3 linked regions of the Tamandua tetradactyla genome follow. The main gene of each other region encodes a partner of the protein of the gene in region 3 in a complex. Links are inferred from orthologs where the notes say so. Each region holds a gene or a part of one and is shown on either strand. Other genes may lie near its edges. The genes, in order: SAV1, RASSF5 and STK3.

Region 1 (9,574 bases), on a different chromosome or scaffold from region 3:
TAACTGATACTTCGACTTCATTAGGTTTCTGTTACGTGCTTAGCGCCCTAGAATATGGTAAGTGCAGATATGAGGCACCATTATTAAAAAATATATATATTTTTGCATATTTCCTTCTGCCCATTTTAGCACAGAACTTTAGGAATGAAAAACACTTTGGAAATGCAGTAGTCCAATTTCTTCATTTTCAGATGAGAAAACTAAGACCCAGAGAGCTATAAGGTTAGCCCAGGTTTGTTTAATGTTATACTAATCAAAAATAGTTGTTAACTCACTAATTGTCTATTTTCTCCACTGAGAATGCAAATGAAAGGGGAAAAATATTTCTATTATGTAATACAGTATTAGCATTGTGTTTGGAGAATTAAAGCTGCAAAATCTGGATTCCTTAATGAAAAATTTCAGAATTCCAGGAATTTCTGGAAAACATGTGAATTCAAAGCCTCTGGATTCAAAGTTCAGATATTTGCTATGCATTGCTACTGCTGATGCTGCCTGCAGACTGTTGATTCTGGCATGCACCCTCTTTGATAAAAAGTCAAATTATAAGTCTTAAAGAGAGTACCTAACAGATTTTTTTTCTTTGTAATTCAAAGAATTGAAATTGCACTGAAAAAGGGAATACTTTGTAGGGAATATGGATGGCCTTCAGAAACAACCGTATTAGAAACAGTCTGGATTATATTACTGGGATTTTTAATATGCTGCAGCAGAGAAAGGCTCAGAATGGGAAAAGAAAATATTTCTGATACTAATCTGCTGTAAACCAGGAATGTGATCTGAGGCAAACCATTTTTCTAGTTTTGTTTCTACATCTATAAAATGAGGTTAGCCTAGCTAATCTCAAAATTCCTTTCCAGTTATAAAATTCAGCGATTTCTTTCCCCCATGAATGTGGAAAGTATCCTCTACTTCAGGCTCTGGGAAAACCCAGGTGGGAAAAATTGACGTTATTAACAAGACCCTAATATCCTTTTTTTCTCTCATCCTTCCAAGGTAAGTAGGCCCTGTGCCGAAGACTAGCACTTTTGGCACCACTTTCTCCTCCATACCCAATCTGTAAGAAAACCCCATTGTTTTTTCATTTATGTTTCATCACTCTTCTCCACCCACCCTACCAACACTTTAGTACCAGTCCTTACTTCTGAACAGGAAGAAGTGACTGCTTTTCTAATGTTCCTCTAAAAGTACAAACTGCTTCTTTTTTTTTTAACATGGGCAGGGACCGGGAATCAAACCCAGGTCCTCTGGCATGGCAGGCGAGGATTCTTCCCTGCTGAGCCACCTTGGCCCACCCTAAACTGCTTCTTTTGAGGTCTGTTCTGTTCTAGCGTTAAAATTTACATTCCCATGGGAGTGATCCTTGATTTCTCTCTTTTCCTCGTGTTCCAATTCAATGCCAGCAACCTCGTTGGCTCTGCCTTGAAAAGATGTTCAAAATCTGACCACTTATTTCCACTGCTATTACTCTGGTCCAAGCCAGCAATAGCTTCGGACCGGTGTCTCCTCTTTGCCCTTTTCCTAAGTCTATTCTTAACAGCACCCAAAGTGATCCTATTCAGAACATCAGGTCGGATGAAGCCACATATCTGCTCAAAGTCAAGGGCCGTCAAGGCTCTAATTTCAATCCCTTGTACTCTCCCCTACATCCCTCTGTGCCTGCTGCACCGACCTCCTTACTGTCCTTCAATCTGCCAGGAATTTGGCCACCTGCAGCGATGCCTTGGCTGTGTTTTCTACCTGGAATATTCTCCCTCCAGACAGCTGCATGGCTGGTTCCCCATGTTCCTGTCTCACGATGCCTTTTCCAGTCACTCCGTCAGTGCCTAAAATTGCAAACCCTCTTCCTGGCTTTCCACCTCAGCTCTTATCACTAACATTCTGTTTTGCATATTATCTTTATCGTATCTTCCCCAGCACAGTAGGGATTTTTGTCTGTTTCATCCATTGATACACCCCAAGGATCTAGAATAGCACCTAGAAGTGGGTGCTCACTAAATATTTGTGGGTTACTCAATGAATAGCAGGAGATCTGTACTAAGAGGGCATAAAAGCATCATGCAAAGATGGAAGTAGACACTAGATAAAATGTTTTTTCATGGCAAAACACAATTTGATCATCGTCTTAATCTGGTGCAGTAGAAAATTCCATACCTTTTGTTAATTGTGGCATAAATTTTGTATCTCTTGTGAAATAAGTTTCAGATCTCAAGGAAAGCATTCTCTATTATTAAAAGTCTAATTTACCCAGGGATGAGCCTGGCCCTGGCACCGTGGGATCAACAATGCCATCCTGACATAAAGGGTGAAAAGAAGTGTAGCAAATAAGGTATCAGTGGCTGAGAGAGTTCAAATAGAGTCAAGCGGTACATGGAAAGTCACTCTTACTTAAACTGAAGTTAGACATTGCTACCTATCATAACTTGCCAAACCCCAAACAAAACCATTCCTGCCAACCGTAAAGAACACCTAGGGCTTTATATAAGATCCTACAAAGCTTCCATACACTAGGGTGACTTTCCAAAACCTACAGCCTCCAGATGGGTGCCTGGTCCAGGTAAGCCCAGCCTCTGCAGAATATCAGCTAGTTCTATCGCCCCTCCCATGTCATCAACAGCCCCGTCCAACATGAAAAGTTAGAATGGGCATAGCCCAGACACCCCTAGAGTGGAGAAGGACCAAAGGTGATGGTGGAGTTGCACAGAGAAGGTCGGGTTTAACAAATGAGCGTGACTGCTCAATCATGACACTGATATTTATTTGAGCTTCCAGTACCTTAGAGGACCTAAAAGTAAAAACCTAAAGTTGTGGAATTGTAACCCAATCCAAACTCTGAAATCTGTTCTACAACTAAGTGTTGTGATGTACTTTGCTTTTATGCATAAATGTTGTTTAAAGGAGAGGAACATAACAAAGATAGGATTTAACACAGATGACTGCTGAATCATACTGATATTTCCGTTGGTCTCCAGTGTCTTGGAGCAGCTGGAAGTAAAAATGAAAAATTGTGGAACCGTAACCTACATCAAACTTAAAATCTGTTGCGTAAGTACTTGTTAAAATGTACTTGGAATTTTATTGCTTTTATGTATGTGTATTTCACAATAAAAAAGTGTAAAAAAACAGGCCTCTTTAGTTCACCTGGGGATAGATCCTATCTTATTTGCTCACGATCCTGTACCTTTGGCAGTTCCCGGTCAGTAACAGCGAAGTGTAGTCCACGCTTTTAAACGGAAAATCCCAAACCCTCATCTCTGGCGTTCAAAGCCCTCAAAACCCGAGGACGGAACTAGCTAATTCCACGAGGAAGTACGTGACTGTTTCCCACCAGTGTGCGACTACACACGTACAGACTCAACACTGCCGTGAACGCGAGGTGCGAAAGCGTCGCCCTTCGTCCTTCCTGCACGGCCGGCGCACTCGGCGGCCCCGCGGCCCGTCCCGGCCGGCCAGCGTCTAACGGACCACTCGTCTCGGTCAGGAGGCTCCAGGTCCTCGCGCAGCGCCGCCCGACGGTGTCCCAGGGCCCGGGCTAGTCACCCGATCCCAGGCCGGCGGGCGTGCAGGGGTCCTGGGGGCAGCGGTGGGGAGGGGCTCCGTGCGGCGCGCGGTCAGGTAGGACACTGGCCGGCCCCCTTCGGCCCCAGTCCCCTGCAGTCTCGCTGCGGAAACCACAGCGGCCGCCCCTCCGCCCCGGAGCCGCGCGGTCAGCCGAGGGCCAGCGCCGACGCCCCGGGAGGCGGGAGCTGGGGTGGGTCCCAGGCGGGCGGCGGGTTTCCCAGAGTTCCCAGCGGCGGGTTTCCCAGAGGCCCCAGCGGCGGGTTTCCCAGAGTTCCCAGCGGCGGTCACTAGGCGGCGGCGGACACTGGTGCGGGTCCATGGCCCGGGCCCGGCTCTGCCGGCCTCTCGTGCTTGCGGTCAGCGCGGCGGCGCGGGCGGACTTCCGGGAGGCGGCTGGGGCGCGGCTGGGCGGCGGGCGGCGCGCGTAGCGCCTGGCCATGCGGCCCGCCCCGCGGGCGCCCCGGGCTGCGGAGAGGACCCGGCGCCGGGCTCTGGGCGGGCCGCGTGGCGCGGCCTCGGGCCTCGGCTGGAGGGATGCTGTCCCGAAAGAAAACTAAAAGCGAAGCGTCCAAGCCGGCGGAGGTGCAGGGCAAGTACGTCAAGAAGGAGACGTCGCCCCTGCTGCGGAGTGAGTGTCGCGGCCCCGCGGGCGCGCGTCTGGCCTTGGTGCCTTCCGCCTTCGTAACTTTTTGGTGCATGGAATGCCGGTTGTTTGAAAATCGCTAAGGGATAAAAGAGCAGGAAACTTGGTTGGTTGTTCCTTCGGGAGAGTCCCTGAAATAGCGCTCCTGGCCGCGGCGAAGGTCCTGCCCACGCTTCCGGAGCGCTCGGGCGTTGTGGGCGCCGAAGTCCGGGACGCGCCTTTTCCTGGTCTGGAGACGCGGAGAGACGCGGAGAGGCGCCCGGTCGGCTACTGTCCGGGCGCCGCCGCCTGTGCAGAGGGGCGCAGAGCAGCCGCTCCCAGGCCCCTCCGCTGGCACCACGGGCCGTGTGTGTGTGTGTGTGTGTGTGTGTGTGTGTGTGTGTGTGTGTGTGAGTGTGTGAGAGAGAGCACCCACGGGCCGTGTGTCTGTGTGAGAGCACCCACAAATCCTGTGTATGTGTGTGAGAGAGCACACACGGACCCTGTGTGTGTGTGTGTGTGTGTGTGTGAGCACCCACGAATCCTGTGTGTGTGTGTGTGAGAGAGTATCCACGGACCGTGTGTGTGTGTGTGTGTGTGAGAAAGAGAGTATCCACGGACCGTGTGTGTGTGTGTGAGAGAGAGAGAGCACACACGGACCCTGTGTGTGTGTGTGTGTGTGTGTGTGTATGTATGTGAGAGCACCCACAAATCCTGTGTGTGTGTGACGGTTTACACCACCCATTTAACAACCCTTTTCAGATTCCAGGGAGGCAAAGTAGCTTAAAACGACTTCCATCCTGTTCTAGGGAAAGTACCAAGAAGTCGTTTAGACTGGAGTAGGATCTGTCTGTCGCCGTGTGACTCTGGCTTCCGAGTGGGCGTGGAGGACGGCGTGATGTAGGAGCTGGTGCCGTGCTGCTCCCGCAGTGCGCCGAGCCCTCGCGTTTCCTTCCCGCGAGCGCGGGGTCCCTCGGGCGCGGCTGGCTCGTGCCCGGTCCGCAGCGCACGGTGGGCCAGACAGCAGGCCAGACAGCAGGCTTCCCCTGCAGCCACGCCGCAGCCTTCTGGGTTCGTTGTCGTGCTGGAAGGGCTTTCCCATAGAGCAGAGCAAGTCCCCTGGGGGCATCAGCTGCCCGAGGCTCATTTGTAAAACCTTTTTTATAGCTTGCTGTACAGTGCACGTGCTCTTAGGTTTTTGGCCAAGGTCTTAAATGATAGTTTGCAGTTTGCTGCACATAGTTTACTAAGCATTACTTGAAGCTCCAAAATATCTTTGCCACACTTTTTGGCAAATAAAAGCTTTTACTATAGTATTTTGTGTTTTAGTTTCATGAAGTGTTTATCCTTACTTATTTGGGCATTGACTTCTTTCTCTCTGAAACCGTTAATATGAATGCCCTCTAATAAGTTTACATAATGGCCACAAATCTCATTTTCTTCGTGTATTAACAGTTTTTGCTTTCTATCTGGGAATATCTGAACTGTTTTCAAGTTCTGTACTAAGAAGTATCTGGAAAAGCCATTGTTCTATTATCTTCTTCAATTGCTTGGTTCTTAGAGGAGCCATAAATTTAGGCTTGGTGAATTTAAACTGATTAAACATTCGTGTACTTCTTTGGAATGAGCCTTTTTAAAAAAATCTTCATATCAAAAACTTTGGCTTTCTAGCTTTTGATTACTCTCCTAGTTCTAGGTAATTCCAAGAGTAAGAAGACTGGATTAATAAGTTCAATTTTTTTTTTGTAAAGGTATCCAACTTCACATATTTTTGGAGTAGCATTATGTTTTGTTTTATCTTAGAAATGTTTGCTTGAAGAAGGAATTTTAGCAATTTCTAAAATGAAGTGAAAAATACCAAAACAAACTATAATCTTACATAATTTTGCTGGTAACTACATAGATGTTTCCTGTTTTACACATTTATTCATGAGTTATTTCATTAAGTATGCATTTTATATTTAAGTTTGTTGGCATTTTTCCATGTTATATATGTATGGTGGTACACAGAATGTATTTGATTCTGGCTGAGCTTACATATAGTACCTTCGTATACAGTATCAATCCATTTGGGTGGGGAAATGTTAATTAGCCTTAATCTTAAACTATCCAGGTACTATTTTAAATAAAAAATTTAAGAGATGTTCTCTTAAGTTCATTGAAACTTTGCATTTTAGGGGTGGTAGGTGTAACCTGACAACTTTTGAAAAGTGTATTTATTATTTGTTGAAATGGTCATTTTATTCTTTGTTTTATTATAGATCTCATGCCTTCATTCATCCGGCATGGTCCAACAATTCCAAGACGAACTGACATCTGTCTTCCAGATTCAAGCCCTAATGCTTTTGCAGCCTCTGGAGATGGAGTAGTTTCAAGAAACCAGAGTTTCCTTAGAACTCCAATTCAGAGAACACCTCATGAAGTAATAAGAAGAGAAAGCAACAGATTGTCTGCACCGTCTTTTCTTGCCAGGAGTCTAGCAGATGTCCCTAGGGAATATGGCTCTTCTCAGTCATTTTTAACTGAAGTTAATTTTGCTGTTGAAAATGGAGACTCTGGTTCCCGATATTATTATTCAGATAACTTTTTTGATGGTCAGAGAAGGCGGCCTTTTGGAGATCGTGTGCGTGAAGACTACAGATACTTCGAATACAATCATGATCTCTTCCAAAGGATGTCACAGAATCAGGGGAGGCATACTTCAGGTGACTGAAAATTAGAAATATTACATTAGTTTATTTGTAGAGCACTGACACTTTAATTCGAAAGATACTCTTTTCTGAGATTTTTTTGGGAAGCTAACAAATATTCCTAGTGAAATACGTTTTCATTTCCCCAGACTTTTTAAACCAGCTTGCAAAAAGTTATTGCTCTATACTGGGTCAAAGAATTCTTGTGTCCATTTATTTTATTAACTTATGTTATATAAACTTGGTAGCTATCTCAAGGCTATTTTAACTACTAACATTATGAGCCTTGAAAACCTAGAGAAGTTAATGTCTTCAGTTGGATTGAATTTAGGTTTTTGTTTGGTAGAATTGGAAAGTTTAAAATTCAGAGGAACTGGACTTGAACCTGGGAACGAAGAGGAGGCTAGGAATAATTGGGCATGCTAGGTGAAGCCTAACTATGGTGATGTAAGTGAGGGTTAGTGCTAACTAACCATGCATGCACAACGACATACTTGTGTTGATAGAATCTGCACTCTTTCTCTTAAAACTATTTTTATAGCTCAGTAGTTATTTCCTGAATTGGTAAAAAGATAAATTTATTGTCAGATCATATGGTTTATCAGGTACTGAGCATATCTTTTTGTTATTCTTTATGGAATAAGCAATAAATATTAGCAATGTAATTAAGAAAAAGTCTACTTTCTCTAACTATTGACATGGGGATATTTTTACAAAGACTACAAGAGAGACAATAAATGCAGTTATATTTTATGCTTAAAAGTACCAAATTACACTAAATGATAAAGCAAGGCAAAAATTAAACTTGGTCATCTCATTATTTTTTCCAAGTTAGTTGTAAGCCCTAAATTTGGGTAGGATTAAAAAAAACAACAGCTGTACATAAGACAGATTTACCTTACATCCCACTTAACTTCAAATAAGCTGACTTAAAAAATAGTTTGAAGTACAAATACTTTGATTGTAGAAAATATTTTTTTCATTGAATATTAATCATTTATGTGTCTAGCATCTTCCCTGGCTCTCTTTCTCTCTGCCCTCTGGTACCTATTTGGGAAAACAACATCAAAATACACAAACTACTCACAGAATTATAAGTATAGTATTACTGACTGTAAGAGCACTAGGGAATCGCAGGTTATCAGGGTGGGCTGGGTGTTAGAGCATGATTCAAGAAAGAGATAGGGTTTGAACAGGGCTTTGTACTTGGATTTTATATTACAGGAAGTAAAAGAAGGGCATTTTAGATGGAAAATTGGCAATAGCACAGTGAAGGCAGAGAAAAGAGGATTGCAGGTATCAGTGGTAATGGAGAGAAAAGGACGAATCTTTTTCTTTTTAAGGGAAAATAAAAAATTTTGGATTAAAAGAGTAAATCGTTAAAGTTTTGAAAATTGGGGAATAGTGTGGAATTGTTGGTAAGAGTAGTTTATTTGCGAAAGCCAATGTTGGGTCTCTTAGGGACACTGAAGTGGAGAATTTTTCTTTGCATGTGAGTGCCTTTTTTGTTTTTTGAAGTAGATTAAAGGATTAAGACAATTGCATAGTTTACTGTTTTGGCTATTTCTAATATTTTGCATTCTAAAGTTCAGAAATAATTTATTGTCCAACTAAAATAGTTTTTAAAATAAAGCATTTATATTTTATTTTAGAGTAGTCTGTGCTTTTTATAGGGAGTCTACAAAATGCAGAAGAGTAAACTACCTATCATACCAGATGCCTGTTAGTATTTTTATTTCCTTCATCTTTTTCAGTACCACTTTCTTTTGAGTTGTTATAGTTATACTCGTACAGTTTTGTATTTCTGCTTTTTTTCTTGAATGAAGTTTTTTTGGGGGGGTGCATGGGCTGGGAATCGAATCTGGGTCTCTTGCATCACAGGTGAGCATTCTACCACTGAACCACCCTTGCACCCCTTGAATGAGTTTCTTAATGTTTTATTCTTTTAATGAGCAGTTTGAATGACTCGGCAGTCTTCTGTTTGGTAGATGTTCAGTGGCTAATATTTTAAATAAATTCAGGTTTCCCAAGGGTTTAATGAGGATCTAACTTAGGCTGGGAACATTTGGAAAGAAGAGGGAAGTGGGGTAGATCTGAATTGTTGGACTTGGCCGCTAATGGAGTTTGGGTGATGAGGAAGAGTAAGCTTAGGATAGCACCTGTCTATATGGTTGATCAATAAAGAAATTGTTGAATGAGTGAAGGAATTCAGAGGTTTCAGGTCTGGAGACTTAAGACAGTTTTGGTACTTGGAGGGAGCAGAAATAATAGCTTTAAATAATCTGTTTAATGTTAATAACAATTTATTGTTTTTTGTGGGGTTTTTTTTTGCACTCATCTATCCCAAATATATTTATATTGTAAATGTCACTAATTGATCATACTGCTTTTCTTCCTGAGTTTTAAGTATATGAGTGAAGACTTATGCCAAGTTAAGATCATGTTTTAAAATTCTGTTTCATAAAATATCATTGCAAAAAGATAAATATCTATCATTGCAGACAAGCTTTTTTTTTTTTTTTTTTTTTTTAACATGGGCAGGCATCAGAAATCGAACCTGGGTCCTCTGACATGGCAGGCAAGCCTTCTTGTCTGCTGAGCCACCATGGCCTGCCCTAAAGACAAACTTTAAAGCAATTGTAATTTAGAAATAAAATACAAGTTTAACGTAGGATACTTTTTCAAGTTAAAGAATGTTATT
Region 2 (9,574 bases), on a different chromosome or scaffold from region 3:
CAGTGGTCATTAGTGCTGTTTGTCAAATATTTCCAATTCTTTCCTCATTCTGAGCATACTGTAGGATCACACTTCTTGTCCCCTTGGGGCCATTTATAGCTGGTTCTGGCTAATGAGCTGTGAGAGGAAATGGCTGAAGCTTTTGAAAGCTGGCATGGCATCCTCCGGGTTCTCTCGATCCCCTCGGGCATGGTGACTGGTGACATTAGACACGATGGCTGCTCCATCAGTCTGGGCCCCTGAGTGACTGATAAGCCAGGGTCCCCTCTCCAACCTACAAAGGACAGGTAGTGTGAATGAGAAAGACGTCTCTGTGTTTAAAGGCCCTGAGATTTGAGAGTTGTTCATTACTGCAGCATAACCAAACCTATCCTAATAGAGCTGGAAATCCTTTGTGCTACTCTCAGAACCACAGGGGATTCCCTAGATGCCTCGGGGATTTCAGAAGACATCAAATATCTCAAAGCCAAACAATAATAAAATTTCCCCCTCAGAAAGTCAGGTCATATTCTATCCTCCCCTGTTCCTTCCTACCAGGGAGATTTGTGGGGGATGGGGGGGGTGGGGGTGGGTCAACCCTTGGAAAGACTCACCCAATAGGGAAACCAACATGCTCCGGGACCACCTCTGAAGTGACTTTGCACACTGACCACACACTCAAAACCCTGCTGTCATAATCCTCCCCCTTGAGAAAAACTAACAGCAGCACACCCACGCTGCTGGGAGTGAGTCACAAGCAAAAAAGTCCGCAGCTCCAAGCCAAGAGGGTCTGCCACCACTGAGAAGAAACTCTCACTGGAGCTGTCAGCAGACGCTGAGGTCTTAGCCCATAGCCTGGATGGCCAAAGACCAATCCAAAAGTTTTAAAGTCCAGGCATCAGACGCTACCCCATGCAACATCCTGACTGCACAGAGAACTAGGGTTTACTCCATACTTCTTCCTTGGAAAGGAGGAGGGAGATATACTGTGTGTGTGTGTTTCTGTGTGTGTGTTGTGGGAGGGGGTGCTTTTTGGGAGGAGACTGGGGGCTGCATAGAAGGAACCAAATGCTGAGCAAGAAGCCTTGTGCTGAGGTGGCGGGGGGGGGGGGGGGGAGGCAACTACCTCCCCCGACCTCATTTTCTTGGCTCAAAGAGATGAACCTTAAGATAAACTTGATAAACTTTTTGGACTGGTTGCATGGAATTATGTTATCTCCATATTCATCTCTGTTCCCATCCCAGAAGTTAGGAGGGCTCTGAGCTGCCCAATCTCCCTCCCGCTTTCAGTGCTAAGAGCAGCCACCACCACTTCCCCAAATCAGAGCTGCAGCAATAAAACAAAAACTGGAGCAATTTCTCCGTACGGCTCACACAACTGGAAAGGGCTTTATGCCTGATTATCCAGATAGCCCTTAGCTTCCCAGGGCAAGAGGAGCCCCTTCTCCCCCATGAGCACTGCTCTCCCGGAAAACTATGGGGCTGGGCTTCCAAAACTATGCTGGGGAATTGGGGAGCAGGAGATGGTAACTGTTGGCAATATATCAAAAAGGCCATTTCAAAACTGATCTTCAAATGAACTCTTTGCTAGATCCCTGCTTTTTCTTGCCACCCGAAGCTGTCACCCAGAGTCCAAGCTGGGTCCAGACCCTGAACCTCACCCAGGCCAGTGCACTCCTGGGAGCCAGTGATCTCCCACCAGCTCTGGTGCCTGGAGAGATAGATGGATAACAGAGGGTGGAAACAGGCAAATATTTATATGCAACACATATTTCTGCAACAATTCCAAGAGACCTGCTTGCTGAAAAAGCGGGAGAGACAGGAATAAGAGACCACAAGGCAAATTGTATTTTTCCCTTTTACATATTCAGCAGAAACCATTCAGGAATTGCTCCCTTCTGGCTGTTCCACTGAACCGTTTACCTGCCTGGTGAGGAATCCATTCTCCCATCACCATCTTAGATCTAAAGCAATGGTTCTCAAGCTGGGGTCCTTGGATCAGTAGCATCAGCACTACCTGGGAAACTGTTAAAAATACAAAATCTCAAACCCCAGCCCCACATCTGATGACTCAAAAAACTAGGGCTGAGGCCAGTGATCTGTGATTTAACAAACCCTCCGGCTGATCGTGATGCATGCTGAAGTTTGGAAACCACTGATGTAGAGAAAGTACTGTTCAAACAAGGGAGAGGAAAGGTGGAGGATTGTGGTGCACGGTCCCCTAGCTCAGCTGCCTTCTGCCTTGTAGCACTGGGGATTGGCTGCTGTGGAGCCATGAAACAAAGCAGGCTGGGAATTTCCTAGGCATTAGGCTCTAGAATTTTTAGGAATTACCTAAAATTTACCTCCAAGGGGGGAAAACAAAAGGTGAAGATTCCCCTACTGGACACTAGGGGGAGACCCCTCTCTGGTCTGGGAGAAGGAGGGGAAGTCTCAGGTCTAGCAGGATTCAGACTATTCCCCAAGTTGGTTGCTGGTGACCGCTGCTAAATCAACCAACCCAACCCCATGCTTTAAGAGGAAAGTTGTGGTCATTATGTCAGAGTGTGGGAACCCGAGAGGACAGCAAGCCTGGCTCCTCACTCCCAACGCAATTTGCAGTTCAAACTGGGGCTAGAGACAGCCAGGATACACAGGTATGTGCCAGGCTACATAGGTTGGATTCAAAGACCCAGGAGTCCCCACTCAATCTCAGTTTCCCCACCCAGGAGACAGACCTGGTGCTATTCTTTCCCACACTAAATAGGGCAAAGGTACTGGTCAGGCCCAGCTACATTATTTGCAGGGCCCAGTGCCAAAACGAAATGTGGTACCTTCGTTTAAAAATTAAGAATTTCAAAATGGTGACAGTGGAGTATCAAACGAGGCAGGGGTGGAGGTAGAGCCGGGTGGGGGGACGCAGTAGTCTATCCTGATCCTGGTAGAAAAGGGTCTCTTTGGGTCCCACAGAACTGTCCATACCTGGTGCAAAGTAAGGCTATTTGGGGGTTGGGGTGGGGGTGGGGGTGTCGGATCTCCAAAGTAATTACTCGAACAGCTGGGAGAAAGGAGCCTTTGACTTAGGTAGAAAAAGTCCCTCAGCCTACAGGGTGCGAGGGCGTTCTCACACTCCAGGGCCCTCTACCAGTATAACTCCAGTCTTACGGGAAAGAGGAATCTCCAATCCCGCAAGGCTGCGGAGGAAGGGGAAACCCGAGAGAGAGTGAAAGCCGCGCGCGCACAGTCGGCTGCGCCTCGCAGGCGGCCGGGGTGCACAGCCTGGGAGCGTCCCCCGAAGCGCGCGTCCCTCCGCGTCACGGGACTCGGCGCTGCTCTGCGGGGACGCCACCGCGGCGCACACGCACTCCCCCGCCCAGACCCGGCTTCGCAAACCAGCTGAAGGCGACGAGGGAAGGAAGCACTGTTAGGGAGCACATTCCTCCAATCGGCCTGAAATTGGGGAGGGGGCGGCGGAGCCCCGGGACCTCCTCCTCCTTGGGTTCCATCCTCAACTAGTTCCTAAGCTCTTCCCTCCCATTTGGGCGTGCTGGGGTGCGGGTGTCGGGGAGGCGGGGGTGGGGGGTGGATCGGGTATTGGTAGAAGTGAAGGAAGAGGGAAAGAGGCAGGGCTGAAGGCAAAGAGACCCTACAGGAGGGCTTTTTCTGCATTGTACTGTACAGCAGCTTTGCTATCCTAAATCCCAGATGTTCAATAGACTTCCTGAAGGCGCCCCCTAAACCCACACTCATGCTCGGACAACCCCCACAGTACAACCTTACCACCCGGTCCGTCGGCCTTTCCCTCGTGTCGCCCTTCCTGCCTCCCTGAAGTCTCCCCGCCCCCGCCCCGCCCTGTCGGCTGCGGTCCCTTTAAAGGCGCGCTGGTGTGGGGCCGCCCCTTCTCTCGGGGCTGGCTCGGGAGCTGCGCCTCGCCGGGAGACAACCGCCGCCCCTAGCCGGGCATGGCCATGGCGTCCCCGGCCATCGGGCAGCGCCCCTACCCGCTCCTACTGGACCCCGAACCACCGCGCTATCTGCAGAGCCTGAGCGGCCCCGAGCCGCAGCCACAGCCCCCCGGCCGGTCGTCGCGCCGCTGCGCCCGCGCGCCCCTCTCCGCTGCGCCCGGGGCGCACGATGGGCGCGGCGCCCGGAGGACTTCCCGGGAGGACCCGGAGCCCCAACCCCGGGCTTCCCGACCCCCTCGCCCTGTCCGGCCGGGTCTGCAACAGAGACTGCGGCGGCGGCCCGGAGCGCCCCGGCCCCGCGATGTGCGGAGCATCTTCGAGCAGCCACAGGACCCCCGCGTCCCGGCGGAACGAGGCGAGGGACACTGCTTCGCGGAACTAGCGCTGCGGGCGGGCCCGGGCTGGTGCGACCTGTGCGGACGCGAGGTGCTGCGGCAGGCGCAGCGCTGCGCTAGTGAGTGTGGGGGCCGGGCAGGGGAGGGGCGCGCGCAAGACCGCAGTCCAGGGGCGAGGGACTGCGACAGGGCTGGGAGAGAGGCGGCATTGCCCTCTCTAACTCCAGGACAGGCCCAGACTTTAGGGGAAATAGTCCTTGGAGACAGTCTGCTCCTTCGTCCCCTACCCCGTATCCGTGACGACTGTCACTGCCCAGGGATGGCTGTGCGGTAGGCATTCTACCAATACCCCTTGCCTGACCAGTGCACGCCTTCACCTCCCCACATGCGCTCAGGCTGGGATTGATAACCACAAGGTCATTCCTTGTCTTCCATGCCCCCCGCATGTTTTTATCGTAGGATCTCACTCTGACCTTGGGAGGAAGGGCAAGACCAATATTGAGATGGCCATTTGACTCTTGCTTATTAGTGAAAATGGCAAAATGGTTTGTTTGTCCACCTACGGTGTGGGCCCAAACCCCTCCTCCAGGGGGACCTGTTGAGTCCTGGCTGAGGCCATGCCTGGGAAGGAGCTGTGGGTTGAAGGGAGGCTGAGGTCACCCTGCACCTGTGCCCCTGCCTGCCTTCCACATCTGGCCACTCAGACCTTTGGACTCAGCTCTCATGTTTGGCTGTGCCCTGCCTCCTCCTCTTCTTCCTAGGCTCCTACATCAGTGGTTGGTCTTTAAAATTACCCAACTCCCGGTGGGGTCCCTCCCTCCCCAGCTCAGTCCCCTGCAGCCTTCTCCTGAGCCAGGCTCTTCTCAAACCTGACTGTAAAGCACTGGGCACCCAGCATGTAGATTTTCTGAGCAAATCTACAGTCTTCCTGAAAGATTATTATTTTTTCTTACTACAATTAGGCATGTATATTCCTTTAACTGTGTCATCCGTGCCCCCTCCCTCCTCTGTCTTTCTCCCATATTTGTTGTTGCCGTGTTTGGCAGAGGATACCCAGAGGCGTGTGTTTATGTGTTTGTATAGGTATTTCAAATATCTGAAGCACAGATAATGGCACAACCTCCAAAAAGCATTTCTTGAAATGGTCATGTTTGCATCCTTCTGCAGCGGCCTTCCCCCTGCGACAGCAGCTCTGCATCTCTCCTCTGACTGCAGTGACTTCCACATCAGGAGGCCCCTACCTTTCCTCTCTGCAGGCCACAGCCAAGGCTGGGCATGTGCCTCCCACTGCAGCAGGCTGCGGGGAAGGGGAGCTCAGACTCTAAGCCGGGGCTAAGGGGGAGGTGGGAGATTGGAGGGGAAAGTCAGAACTCATAGTTCAGGTGCTGATTAAGCAAGAAACAGCAGAAATTCGAGAGTTGTGTGCTGTGGGTGTTGAGGACACATGTGGAAGGCTGCTGTCACTTGGTAAATGCCCCTGACCTTACAGAAGAATCCAGAACAACTTGCCCAGGGATGTGTTGGCTGCTTTTGCCCTTTCTAAGTTCCTGATCCACCAACCAATACACAGGGGAGAGGCAGAATCCTCACTAAAATGGGTTTTATTGTTCTGGAATCCCAGGAAATCTGCTTCATTGGAATTCCAGTTTGTATTGACTTTTGGAGACTACATCAGCTGTTGAACATTTTGCACGTTTTGATTTTTTTTTTGGTTTGGGTTCTTAAGAGTCAGAGGTATATTTGCATATGTTTGTATGTGCATATGCAGAGTACTCAGCATGAATTTATCCCCACTTCATGCTAGAGTTGTTTATTTCCTTTGCTTAGTTCCTAAATACCTTCTAGTGGCAAGAGAGTTGAATCTCCCAAGACCCAGGTTCACGTGGCAGTTCCTTTGACTTTATGGGACTTGGCCCACTTTCCTGAGTGCCAGCTCCCCCCTTGCATCACTGCTTTAATACCCTGCTCCCCAGGCCCAGGGATGGTTGACCACCGGAGAGGGAGCAGAGCTGGAATCAGGAAGCCACAGGGAGGAGTCTCGTTATTAATACTTAACTAATTGTGAACCTGTGGCTGGCTGGGAACGGTTGAGAAATATTCTGATGTGCGAATGAGGGCTGGCAAGTGGAGTCACAACAAATCAAACTCACTGAGTATCTTTAAGTTGAAGGTCTAGTTCTGTAATGGGTTTGATTTGTTTTATCTTTATTTTGAAAAGCAAGGGCCAGAGATATGACTTTAAAAAGCCAGGGCCTATGCCGTGATTAAGAGCACAGGCTGGGACCAGAGGGCCTGGGTTGGAATCCTGCTTCTGTATCTGTGTGACCCTGGGCATCTCTGAGTCTCAGTTTCCTTCTTTACAAAATGGGGAACATAATATTACTTACTTCATCAGGTTAAGGTGAGGCTTAAATGAGTTAATATACACATATATGTCAAGTGATGGAATAGTCCCTAGCAAAATGCTTTGTAAATGTTGGATGCTGTTATTTCTAGCCCGCTCCCATCTGACAGCTATGCAACAATTAGTTGGAGCTCTTGACACCATCTAGTGTCACCTTGGCAAGCAACGAGTACAGTTTTCAAACTCTGGTTTCCTGGGCTTAGGGAGGTAGCGAGTGAGCGTACCAGGAGGTGAGGGTTTGAAGTATCCTTGAGAAATGCCACGCCCGCCACTTTGTCCTCAGGAGGAGGCTGCAGTGGCCAAGGAGAGTCCTCACAGAATGCCCCCTCTGTGTGTGACACAGGAGTCGCCAAGCCATCGGCTCTTTATCTTTGTGTCATCCACGCCGAGCAAAATGCCAGGCACCGAGCAGCGTCTTCATAAATGGTGGCTTGGTTGAAGGTGTTGGCTTATTTGAACTATTCAGTACAAGTAGAAGGGCAGGGGGCATGTGACGGCATCTGTCTGAGCAGGAGGCTGGCTCTGAGCGGGTCCATGTTGGCAAAATGGGCTTGTGATAAGGGAAGCTTTGGGAAATACATCTTCTGCTGTCTGCCTGCCTTTCCAGTAGACAGTCATCTCCCTGGTATTGACCCCTAACTCTTATTCTGTAACTGAGACCTGGTGACTCAGGTGACAATTCGGAGTTAATATTAACTTCCAGGATTAAAGACATCATGTTTGTTGGATAAAGAAGGAAATCCAGTTGGAGTTGGTGGAGAGATAGGGAGAGCGACGTTGCATGTGTGTTTTGGATGGTGATGGGAAGCTTCGTTTTTAGCATTCCAGGAGGGATCAGTGAGCACCAACTAACCTGAGAAACTCACAGGCTGACCTCTGCCTTTGCTCTCGGCGGATGTCCCTTGCCGGTCAAGGACCCTTTCTTCTATAGAAGGCGCAGAGAGTGGCTGTTTTACCTTCCATCCCATTTGGGTGGCTCTGTAAGGCATCCTGGACAGGAAATCCACCTTTTCTAAAAGTCCGCTGTTCCAGGAATGGTCTGGCTAATGGAGAACTCTGTGCCCAGCTCCAGTACACAGAACCAGGGCTGAGACACATTGTGCCCACTGCCTGTGACTGCTGCACAGTCGGAGTTTCTCTCTGAAGGGGGAGTTGTTTGGAGCTATGATTAAGTGATTTGCAATGACAGGGCTGAAGGCGGGGACCCCTGGGCTCATCATTCCAGCCTCCCCCGGGAAGTGGTAGGCGGTAATTGAGGAGGGAATGTGGGCGGCGGAGTGTGGTGCAGCCCGCTGGGAGGGGCTCGGGCACCAGCCCTGGGAAGCAGGGCTGGTATCTCACGGGGCCCCTGCCCAGCCTCTCAGCCCTGACTTGTCACCGCACTATTGTCTGGGGTTAACAGCTACTCGATCCTGCCCACACACCTGTTGAGAGTTCTTTGCAGAAGAGCTTCTGGGACATTGATTCTTCTGCAGCGGAGAAAGGTCTTCATTTCAGGCATCCTGGAAAGCGCCCTGCGTGGTCCCAGGGCTGCTGGATTTATTTACCTTGAGCACCAGGAAGGAATTTGTGCAGTGCGCCCAGCAGTGCCTAAGTGGGTGGCTGCAAGTGTTTTCATAGACTTAGGCCCACATTTGGTTTCGGGGGGGAAGAAAATTAAACACGGAAATGGATGTTTTGTTGTTAAAGATGCTGGAATTTCCCCACCCCCAAGTCTTCCCCCACCCCTGGTCCTAACTGAGGTCTGCTTCTTGGGAAAACTCCCATTGGAGTGTGCGTGTGTTTGGGGACAGGGAAGGGACCTGGAATACCTTCAGAGAGGCCTTCTGTGTCCCCCAAGCTGCCTCCTCTTCTCCCCACTTCTTGTCTTCTCACAAGATGAAAGTGAAAGGATTGCACACGGGCTTGATTTCCCCTATTCATCAGAGCATGAAATGTTCTGATTATGGAGTGAGGGGGGCTTGAATCCCAGGTACAGTCAAAAATGATTAATGCCACTTGTCTGCCAGCCTAATTAGACTTGATAATGAACGTGTCTGTTTGCCTGCTGATCCTGTGGAATTCCTTGCTAGATGGAGGTGAACTGACAGTTCCCTTTGATAGTGAGGTTTGGTCTGGGATCCTCTTGCTTCTCCCCAGCCTTGGAGGTGGGCCGTGAGTGACAGAGAAAAAGGCAGACCCCAGCCTAGCCCCAGGGGCCAGTGTCACTTTCCCCTGCGTCAGAACTGGGCTTCTGTCTGTGAGGTGTGTGGAGCTGGGCAGCAGCCAGAGGCCCGAGGAGAGCCAGCTGGGGCTCTGACAGTGAGCACAGGAAAATTCCTTGCATGTCAACGATGCCTCTTCTCTGAGGAGCCCTAAGTATTTTCATGCTCCCTCCCACATTCATCCTCAAAATAGCTTCATGTGGTCAGAAGGCAGGGATGCTTCTCCCGAGGTCTCCCATTGAGAGGAGGAGGACTCACCTGCCCAGGGGTCACCTGTCCACCTGGCTAGAGACTGAGGTAAGGTTAGAGCCTCTTAGATGGGGTTAGGGCCCACCGCCAACGTGCCGGGGCCATCTTAGGCCCTCAAGCCCATTCCCTCCTTTGGACCCCTTGCCCAGAGCTTCTTTGCCAGGGCAGCCACCTGGGATGGCACAGTGGAGGCAGAGTCCCTGCAGACAGGTGCTCCTTGCCACTCTTCCCCTGCCCAGGGTATTAGTAAGGCTGATGGGGAACCTGAAAACACACCTCTGGCCTCATCAGAGGCCCTTCCTGTCCGCATTCCTCAGACGGCCAGGTGAGTGTCCTTGGGTGGGTGAGTATTTGTGGGTATACAAAGTATGCAGTCACCCACCCCCGCCCCACCCTGGCCATTCCGCCCCCTGAGCTCAGGTCAGCGCCAGCCCAGGTGCTCTTCCTCTCCTTGTGCTT
Region 3 (9,574 bases):
TTTTTAATTATTCCATGTTGTTGAATACACCTTCTTTCATCTAAAGTTCTCTAAGTATCAGAACACATGAACTCTTTAATCTTCACAAAAGCACTACTTGGCAGAGAGATCCACACCCTTAGTTTATAAATTAAAAATGAAAGCCTGAAGCGACTAGAGTAGCTCAAGAATAGCCCTGCTCCACGGAAAAGTTAGAGAAGGACAGGAGGGCGACTGAGGTGGTAATTCGGGAGTGCAGCTGACCTGAAAGAGCCTTCTGCACCACATGTGGTAGCCCTGGTTGCAGAGGCCGAGGAACTAAGAGGCAGAAAGCTGGAGCCTGGAGGGGAGGCACAGAGCCCACAGGAGTGTGCAGACTGGAGTACAGGACTAGGAAGTAAGCCAGGCTGTGTTCCTTGGGTGAGCTACCCTCACCAGCACAGCCCCGTGACCGGTGACTCACCCCACACCCCATGCACCTGAGCTCCATCACCCTCTCCCATTCCCTGCACTCCAGGCGCCCCCACCCCACCAGCCCCCAGTGCACATACCTGCCCCACAATCCCACCCCAAGTGCAGCCCAACCCACCTCTCCTACACACCTCCTGAGCACTACCTCCCCCTCCCTGTTCCCTGCAGGTTGTTGCCAGCACATAAAGTTTGCAGGGACTAACCTCCATACCTAGACTACCTCCGCCTCCTGCCCAGTGTCGCAAGGCCTCAAACTGCCCTCTCTGAGCTCAGCACATTCCTTTAAAGCATTTCCAGGCCCCCGCATGCACATGGACCCCCAGTCGCAGCATTCAGCTCTGGGAACCACACTTTACAGCAGTCCTAGAACCACGCATGCACACAGCCCTCAGCTTCACTTGCCAGCTCTGAGAAAGTGCCAACCTGTGCAGCTGGGTCACATCTGCCCCCAGTCCATAAAACCGTAACACCAAAGTGGTGCCACAGCTCTACACATGCGCACAAAGGGCCCTGTGCCTTAGACCAGCGCACACCAGGGTTACAGCTCCCAGACTGGTACAAACCACAGCTACATCCTCCCTGGCCACTGGGCGCCCACGGTCACAAGTATCAATGTAACATCCCCAACCTGTGCCTACCTGCCCTGAAACAAATCACCATACTGAGTGCTCCATCCTGTGCCCTGCTCCTTGCTGTACAACCATCCCCAAACAAAAGGCCTTAGACTACTGAAAGAAATCAACTCCCAAAGTAAATCAATCAAGATATTTGCATGCCATGAAGACAGGAGAAGATCACTAAGCATATTACAATGCAGACAGATATAGCCCTGCCTAGTGACCAAATTAAAACACCAGAGGAGACACAGACGTTGGAACTACTAATCAAAGATATTCATACAACTCTATTTAGTAAAATAAGTGGAATAGCAAATGACATAAAGGAGATCAAGATGAGCACAAAGAGGAATTTTTTTTTTTTTAACATGGGCAGGCACCGGGAATCGAACCCGGGTCCTTGGGCATGGCAGGCAAGCATTCTTACCTGCTGAGCCACCGTGGCCTGCCCCACAAAGAGGAATTTAATCACAGAGATTAAAGACTCTATTGACCAAATAAAAAACATACTAGAGGCACATAACACCAGATTTGAAGAGACAGAAGAAAGAATAAGTAATAGAGAAGACAGGATAATTGACTTTGAAGACTCAAAACAGAAAATAACAAAAAAAAAAAAAGATAGAAAAAATTGAATAGGAATTCAGGGAAATGATACACAAAACAAAGCGCACAAATATAGGAATCATTAGTGTCCCAGAAGAAGAGAGGAGTAAAGGGCTAAGAAGAGTAGCTGAGAATATAATGGGGGAAAACTTCCCAACCCTCATAAAGGATATAAATATACAAGCCAAAGAAGCCCAAAGAACTCCATATAGAATAAATCCAAACAGACCTTCTCAAAGGCACATACTAATCAGTCTGTCAAATGTTGAAGAGAAGCAGAAAATCCTGAAATACGCAGGAGAAAAACAATCCACTACATACAAGGGAAATCAAATAAGATTGAGTTCAGACTACTCAACTAGCACCCTGGAGGTGAGAAGGCAGTGATATGATATACTCAAAATTCTGAAAGAGAAAGACTACCAGCAAAGAATTCTGTACTCAGCCAAACTGAGTCCTTCAAAACTGAGGGAGAGGTTAAAGTTTTCACAGACAAAGAAGCTGTGAAAGAATTTATCAACAAGAGACCAAACCTACAAGAAATACTAAAAGGAGTTCTGGCAGCTAAAAAACAAAGACAGGAGAGAGAGGTCTGGAGGAGGGCACAGAATTGAAGAGTACCAACAAGGGTAATTTAAAGAATACAAAAAGAAAGAGGGAAAAGAATATATAGAAACGACAAACAAAATGAAAAAGATAAGATGGTAGAATCAAGAAATGTCTTTTCAGTAAAAAACTTGAATGTTAACAGACTAAACTTACCAGTTAAAAGATACAGATTGGCAGAATGGATTAGGAAACATAATCTAGGGAGGGCCACAGTTGCTCAGCAGGTAGAGTTCTCACCTGCCATGCTGGAGACCCCGGGTTTGATTCCCAGTGCCTGCCCATGCAAAAAAAAAAAAAAACACATAATCCAGCTATATACTGTTTACAAGAGCTACTTTTATGACCAGCATAAAGGTATAATCAGAGGCTTATAATATGGGTGAGACTTGAGGTCAATGTTGAGTGACGTTAGCCAGACACAAAAGGATAGATACTATATGAGTACAGAAGATAGGGGACTTAGAGATACACAGAAGCTAGAGATGGGTGAACTATTAGCTAAAGAGGCTGAACTCCAATGTAAGGGAATAGATAAGTGTGAGGGTTATTCTCTAGTGGGTCTAGAAGTAATATTACCATATTGAAGATGAACAAGATCGAAAGGGGTTTTATAGACCTACATGTCTCACTGACACACACTAAAAATAAGAATGAGTTCTCATAAGAATTACTTCAAAGATATGATTCTTGTATAAAGAGTGTTTAAGTCCTGGGTACAGGGGGAAAACTGCTACTGCATGCTATGAGCTATGCTCAAAAAGAAACCATCAGCACTACCAAAGCAACAGCAGAGGTAAATAATGGTGAGAGGGACAAGAGGAGGTTTAGACTTTCTATTTGGTAAAGATGTGTTTACTGGTTTTCTGTCTCTTGGGAACAATGAAATTATCTAAACTTGAGAATGTTGATGGACTGTGGACTTTGGGCCCTTGAAGTGATGCCTGATGAAGGCAGGTGGCTGAAGGATGCACTAACGGAGAAGTAAAACAGCAAACGATGGTGCATACTTATGAACAAGACTGTGCTGCTACAAAAAGGAACAAAGTCATGAGGCATGCAACAATGTGAATGAACATATGGGACATTTGGTGAGACAAAATAAGCCAGAAACAAACAAACAAAAAAAAAAAAAAAATGGCATGGACACCTTTAGAAAATGCTTATAAGAAAACAGGGGCCTAGATTGTAAGCTTTTGAGTAGATACATTAAGTCCGGAGTGGTGATTAACATTTCTGGATTTTGAGAGGCTGTTTTATATATAAATATATATATATATATATATATAACCTGATATTTAGAGTAAAAACAAAGCCGAACAGGTTGGGGTTAAAGTAATTCAGAATATAGGAGTAAGAAAAAGCGTCTACATTTTAGAACCACACATACTCTTTGAGACCAATAGAAGAAAGGTTTATTTGATCTGGAATTGAAATTTTCAGTCGTGTATAATCTAATTCAACCTATCTGTATAGCTCATTTGAATAACTGAAACACAGGAAGCACAGAATAAGAAAGAGGTCCTTTAATCTTGTATAGATTATTGTAATGCCTGGATACATCGTAGAGTATATTAAGCAGATAATCAAAAAGTACTGGCAAAGTCTCCTGAGGGAGGGGAAAAAGAACATGAAACTATTAAACCTTACCATTAGGTAAGGTTTGAAACCCCTGATACTGTGTCAAACTTTAGAGATATCCAAATCCACAGGCTATGCTCTTGATCATGAGGTTTACTCTTGTGAAGCTTATGTAGGTAGTGGAGAAGCTTAGCCTACCTATAGGCATGCCTAAGAGTTACTTCTGGAGGACCTCTGTTGTTGCTCAGATGTGGCTCAGTCTCTCTAAGCCCAACTCTGCAAGTGAAATCACTGCCCTCCCTCCTACGTGGGACATGACATCCAGGGATGAAAGTCTCCCTGGCAATGTGGGAGATGACTCCCAGAGATGAATCCAGACCTGGCACCGTGGGATCAACAATTCCATCCTGACCAAAAAGGGGGAAAAGAAGTATAACTCATAAAAGATCAGTGGCAGAACAAGTTCAAATAGGGTCAAGAGGCTATTCTGGAGGTTGCTCTTATGCAAGCTTCAAGTAGACCTTGCTATGGATCATAATCTGCCCACCCCCAACCAGGACCATTCCAGTCAATCCTAAAGAACACCTAGGGTAATATATAAGATTCCACAAGGGTTCCATGCACTAGAGTAACTTTCCAGAAACCTACAACTTCCAGATGGGTCCCTGGTCCACATAAGTCCTGAAACCTAGCCCAACCTTTCCAGAACATCAGATAGTTCCATCTTCCTACCCATATTAGTGACAGACCCTTCCAATATGAAAAATTTAGAATTACTATAGCCCAAACAACCCCAAGAGAGGTATGGAAAGATCAAAGGTGACAGCAGAATTACACATAGAAGATAGGACTTAAAAATGAATATGAATGCTGAATCATTAAATTGACATTTCTTTTAGTCTCCAGTATTTTAGAGTAGCTAGAAGTAAAAACGTGAAATCGTAATCTATGTCAAAGTGTGAAATATGTTCTACAGCTAACTGTGGTGCCGTGCTTGGAAATTTATAGGTTTTTTGTATATATGTTATTGTTCACAAAAAAAAGAAATAAAAAAAAAGTCGATTGTGATGATAAAAAGTGTTTAAGCCCTCTAGCCGTCCATATTCTGGAGCAGCTAGAAGGAAAAATATGAGAGGATCGTATGGTAGCCCATAACAAACTCTGGGATCTGTCCTGTAACAATTTGTTGAAGAGTACTTTGAAAACTATTGCTTTTTTATTTCTTTGCTTTGTATATATGTTATACTATACAATAAAAATAGTTCAAAAAAAAAAAAAGAAAGCCTGAAGTTAATGTTTTTTTCCAATATCAAGCTACAGATACATTCTTGAAGGAAAAATCCATATTATGCAATTGTATCAATAAACAATCTTTATTTAGATCATTTCAAATATTAATTCAAACGTATTTACTCTGCATTCTTACATTTCCAATATAATATCATAGATTAAACATAAACTAACAGTAAATACCAAAGCATCACTATTTTTACATGCTAAAAGAAAAACAAAAAACTATAGGGGAAGGGGTTCTAATTTAAGATCCCTACTGTCTAGCATCCATAAATACTTTTGAACTAAGTGGAGAAACACCTGTCAGTGCGGCAAATCCGCAAGTTTCAGAGATTGTGTGCCTATTAATATTTAATTCCTTAAACAGTAAATAAACAACCCAACTTCTTTAAACAAACAAAAAAAATTACGAAGAACATTTGACAAGAACGCCTACAAGACTGGCAGAACACTAGTAATGTCCCTGTTTTATGTCTCCCAGTCTTCGTAAACTTGCCGCGAGGGGAAAACTCGACCTGCCCCGGAGCCGCAGGAGGTCCGGCCGCGGGGAGCCGGGCGCTGCCCACTCTCCTTTCCACGCGCGCCAGGCCCCGCCGGACGCATGCGGGGGGAGCCAGTCACGGCCTCCGCTCGGGTCCCCTCGCCCCGAGGACAGGCGGCGCCTGCAGCCGGACCTCCCTCCTGACCCACGGCGCGCCGGCCCAGAGCCCGGAAGCCGGGGTGGGGGGTCGCGATCTGGCCTGGCCTAACCGAACCCGCCCCGGGGCTGCCAGCGGCGCGTCCCTCCTTCTCCCCGCTCCCCTTATTGATTACCTCTTGGGCGCCGGTGGCTGCTCCATGGCGGCCTGGGGCAGAGAGAGGGAGCTGGCGGGCGGGGAAGGCTGGAGGGAGGAAAGAAGCTGGAACACCCGCCGGCCGGGCCCGGGGAGCCAAGGAAGGAAACTCCAGGAACTCGGACCAACTTTCTCGTAACTCCGCGGCGGATCCTACGGCCGCTGGGGAGTGTGGCTCTTCCCGGCCTGCCCCGCCCCTCGGCCTCAGGCCGCAGCGCAGGGTGGTGGGCGGAGCCGGGCCAGGGGGAGTGGGCGGGGCCGACCGCGGGGCGGGGAGAGTGAGTGGACTCGGAGACCCGGGAAGGGGCGGGCCGCGGCGCAGAGAAGGGAAAAGGGGAGGGGTGGATTGGAAGATCCAGAAGTTGAGGCTATCTAAGGACTCTTCTGTGCTGGTGAGGGATAGGTCCCTTTACAGCCGGTTCAGGACTGCTGCTCCTCATTTCTCTTCCCTGCGTTTGTCCCAATGCGATTTGAAACATTTCTCTGGATTTCCCACACGATGCATCCCAAGCATCTTGTGAAGCCGTTTGAAGTACTACTAACTGCCCAGGATTTCTTCCTTAGTTCTGGTTATAATTACTGCTTCTGTTTTCCCCCAGCGATTTGACATTTGTAGCTACAGTAGTGGTGATCCTCCTGGAAATTCTTGTTTTTTTTGATTGTGGACAGGCTCCTCATTACATTTCACAATAATTACATCTAATTACAGAGAAAATAATTACTGCAGTGAGATTCTCAGGCACAAACGCAGTATTCTATTAGGTAACCTAGCAAGAAATAGCAGAACCTATGGTGCATAGAAAAGCACTCAAGAAAAATTTGTTTCCTTCCCTCTTCTCGCCCTCCTCCCTACCTGTTCCAACCACACTCACCCTACTCTGATAGTATCCCTTCATGTTTAACCTTAAATTCCACATGTGGCTGTCTTTCTTATGACCAACTACAACTGCTATGTAAGGAGTTTTCTTGTTTTTATTATAAATTGTCAAGGTATAAAGTCCTATACGGTTTTCTCAAGGGTGGAACAATATATAGAAGAGAATGTTGAATAAAGAGTCTTTATGAACATTAGCCTAAATTGTCGATGGATTGGCTTACCAACAGGAATTCATTGGTTCATGGTTTTGAAGACCAGATGTCCAAAATCAAGCCATGCTTTCTCAGTGTTCTCACGCTGGATTGCAGCAATTCTTGGGAATTTCTCTCTCTTTCTCTCTCATTCTCACTCTCTCACCTGCTCTTCCAGTTTCTCCTAAATCCAGTATTGGCTCTTGACTCTTATAAGGCCTCCAGTAATATAGACAAAGGCTGACGGGATTCAGTGAGGCCATACCTTCACTAAAAATAGTATCTTCAGAAGTTCATACTTATAATGGGTTGATACCCACAGGAATGCAGATTAAGATAAGAATATATCTCTTTTTTTGGAGTATATAATTCAGTCTACCACAACACTTATTCCTCATTTTGCATTTTTAAGTTTTATTATGTAACAAGCTTTCACAATTTCTTTTTAAACCATCATATCCACCCACCCTCCCAAATTTAGTTATTTTAAATTTAAGGCCACTCATTGTTGAGATCTAAAGTCGAATTTTGTAAATGAGATTCTTGCAAATTTGTATACTCATTTGAATATATTGAAGACTCACAATAGCAAGATAAACCAAAGAGTTAAAATGAGTTCTGAATTGCCTTAAGCCCCAGGAAGCCCCTCCCAAACTCCAGCCCAGTACCACCACTCCATGCCTCCCACACAAATTCAAGTTATGAAAGAGAAACCTCACTTTTAAGAATCCATAGTACTCTGTGCTGGGCTTTGTGTGGTGCTTATCACATTGTATTGAAGTTCTCCACTCTTCTGCACCTTGCTGTCTGCCCTGGGGGCTGACCCGTGGGCTCACATCAAAGGGCTCCTTAGCCCTCTCTCTTTTAAATAAGTCTAAAGATAGGGAAACCCAACAGGAAGTCTTCTGCAAGGGGGAAAAGGAGTGTGAAGTCAGACTATTTATGAGGTCTCCTGGGACTAGATGTGTTCCAGGAAGTCCTCAATGATCTTCTCAAGGCAAAACACTTTACCCAAATCTCCTTCATTCCCCTTCTCCCTTTAGACCTAGGGGCCATGTGATTGTTCTACTTTTTACTAGGTTTCTCCTCTATTCCCTATGTTCCTCTACACCTCAGCCTCCTCAAATGATCCTTTGTCATTAAACCCTTCCTCAGATGACTCTAATTTGAGTATACTTTCAAAAGGGTTTTCTGTTGGAACCCTGACTGACACCGAAAAAGAAGGTTTATGGAAAGAAGGAGAATTAATATTAGAAAATAAATCCTCGGTGTCTCCCCTCTGTTTGAAAAGGGAGAGTACTAACAAATGTTGTATGAATCCAACAGGAGGACATTTGGCCTACATAATCTCATTCAACTCTTTATTTAATTCTATGAAATGTCCTCATCACAACAGACAAGTCAGCACTTGCCCAGCCACCACTTGTCTAAGTTGACACACGAACATGACCATGACACCCACGTTGGGGAAACATACAATAACATAAGAACCTAATTGGTAATTGTGTTGGTTTAGAGCTGTTATAGACCCCAGAAAAGGCCATGTTCTTCTTTTTTTTTAAATATTTTTATTGATAAATCTTAACATGCAAACATTCCATATATGATGTTACAACAATGGCTCACAACATCACATTGTTGTGTATTCATCACCATGATCATTTTTTAGAATATTTGCATCACTTCAGAAAAAGAAAGGAAAAGAAAAAAACTCAAATACACCATACCCCATACCCCTCCCTCTCATTGACCACTGGTTTTTCCATCTACCCAATTTATTTTAAACTTTATCTTCATGGTTAATTTTTTTACCCATATTTTTTCACTCATCTGTCCATATCCTAGATAAAAGGAGCATCAGACACGTGGTTTTCAGGATCACACAGTCACATGGTAAAAGCTATATCGTTATACAATCATCTTCAAGAAATAAGGCAACTGGAACACAGCTCAACAGTTTCAGGTACCTCCCTTCGGCCATTCCAATACACCATAAACTAAAAAGTATGTGCTGGTTTGAAAGGATGTATGTACCCTAGAAAAGCCATGTTTTAATCCTAATCCCATTTTGTAAAGGCAGCCATTTCTTCCAATCCTTATTCAGTACTTTATGTTTTAAACTGTAATTAGATCATCTCCCTATAGATGTGTCTCAATCAAGAGTGGTAAGTTGGATTAGGTGGAGACATGGCTCCATCCATTTGGGTGGGTCTTGATTAGTTTACTGGAATCCTATAAAGAGGAAACATTTTGGAGAATGGGGGAGATTCAGAGAGAGCAGAGAATGCTTAGAGTCTACCAGCCAGCAACCTTTGGAGATAAAGAAAGAAAATGCCTCCCAGGGAGCTTCATGAAAAGGAAGCCAGGAGAGAAAACTAGCAGATGACGCTGTGTTAGCCATGTGCCTTTCCAGATGAGAGAGAAACCCTGACTGTGTTCACCTTGTGCCCTTCCAGCCAAGAGAGAAACCCCAATTGTGTTCACCATGTGTCTTCCACTTGAGAGAGAACCCCTGAACTT

Evidence for each region.
Region 1: the proteins of STK3 (region 3) and SAV1 are in contact, whole or in part, in a crystal structure (PDB 6AO5), measured with the Homo sapiens proteins. The link is inferred for Tamandua tetradactyla from reciprocal best matches to the Homo sapiens genes STK3 and SAV1. Residues at the interface, in NP_006272.2 of Homo sapiens: Trp429, Lys430, Val431, Pro432, Gln433, Gly435, Phe437, Phe439, Leu440, Lys441, Asn442, Leu443, Ser444, Leu445, Leu448, Gln449, Arg451, Leu452, Leu455, Asp456, Met458, Met459, Glu462, Ile463, Leu466, Arg467, Arg469, Tyr470, Ala472, Lys473; in NP_068590.1 of Homo sapiens: Tyr311, Ala312, Arg313, Ala314, Pro315, Asp319, Trp324, Glu325, Phe327, Gln328, Leu329, Leu332, Asp333, Gln336, Leu339, Lys340, Leu342, Phe343, Glu346, Leu347, Ile350, Val351, Met353, Tyr354, Ala356, Tyr357, Arg358, Ala360, Leu361, Leu362.
Region 2: the proteins of STK3 (region 3) and RASSF5 are in contact, whole or in part, in a crystal structure (PDB 4LGD), measured with the Homo sapiens proteins. The link is inferred for Tamandua tetradactyla from reciprocal best matches to the Homo sapiens genes STK3 and RASSF5. Residues at the interface, in NP_006272.2 of Homo sapiens: Phe437, Phe439, Leu440, Leu445, Leu448, Gln449, Arg451, Leu452, Leu455, Asp456, Met458, Met459, Glu462, Ile463, Leu466, Arg467, Tyr470, Lys473, Arg474, Pro476, Ile477, Leu478, Ala480, Met481, Lys484, Gln488; in NP_872604.1 of Homo sapiens: Trp369, Asp370, Ala371, Phe372, Ile374, Leu377, Gln378, Phe380, Leu381, Leu384, Glu385, Glu387, Glu388, Lys391, Ile392, Val395, Gln396, Lys398, Tyr399, Phe402, Arg403, Lys405, Leu406, Ala409, Leu410, Ser413.

The regions. Positions count from the first base shown.
Region 1 is NC_135340.1:1,699,782-1,709,355, forward strand, and holds the start of SAV1 (protein salvador homolog 1), read left to right. Parts: upstream 1-4,027; 5' UTR 4,028-4,095; coding exon 4,096-4,189; intron 4,190-6,444; coding exon 6,445-6,888; intron 6,889-9,574. UniProt on the Homo sapiens protein: Regulator of STK3/MST2 and STK4/MST1 in the Hippo signaling pathway which plays a pivotal role in organ size control and tumor suppression by restricting proliferation and promoting apoptosis.
Region 2 is NC_135330.1:64,234,378-64,243,951, forward strand, and holds the start of RASSF5 (ras association domain-containing protein 5), read left to right. Parts: upstream 1-3,875; 5' UTR 3,876-3,920; coding exon 3,921-4,377; intron 4,378-9,574. UniProt on the Homo sapiens protein: Potential tumor suppressor. Seems to be involved in lymphocyte adhesion by linking RAP1A activation upon T-cell receptor or chemokine stimulation to integrin activation.
Region 3 is NC_135332.1:142,773,444-142,783,017, forward strand, and holds the start of STK3 (serine/threonine-protein kinase 3), read right to left. Parts: upstream 6,201-9,574; 5' UTR 5,993-6,200; coding exon 5,967-5,992; intron 1-5,966. UniProt on the Homo sapiens protein: Stress-activated, pro-apoptotic kinase which, following caspase-cleavage, enters the nucleus and induces chromatin condensation followed by internucleosomal DNA fragmentation.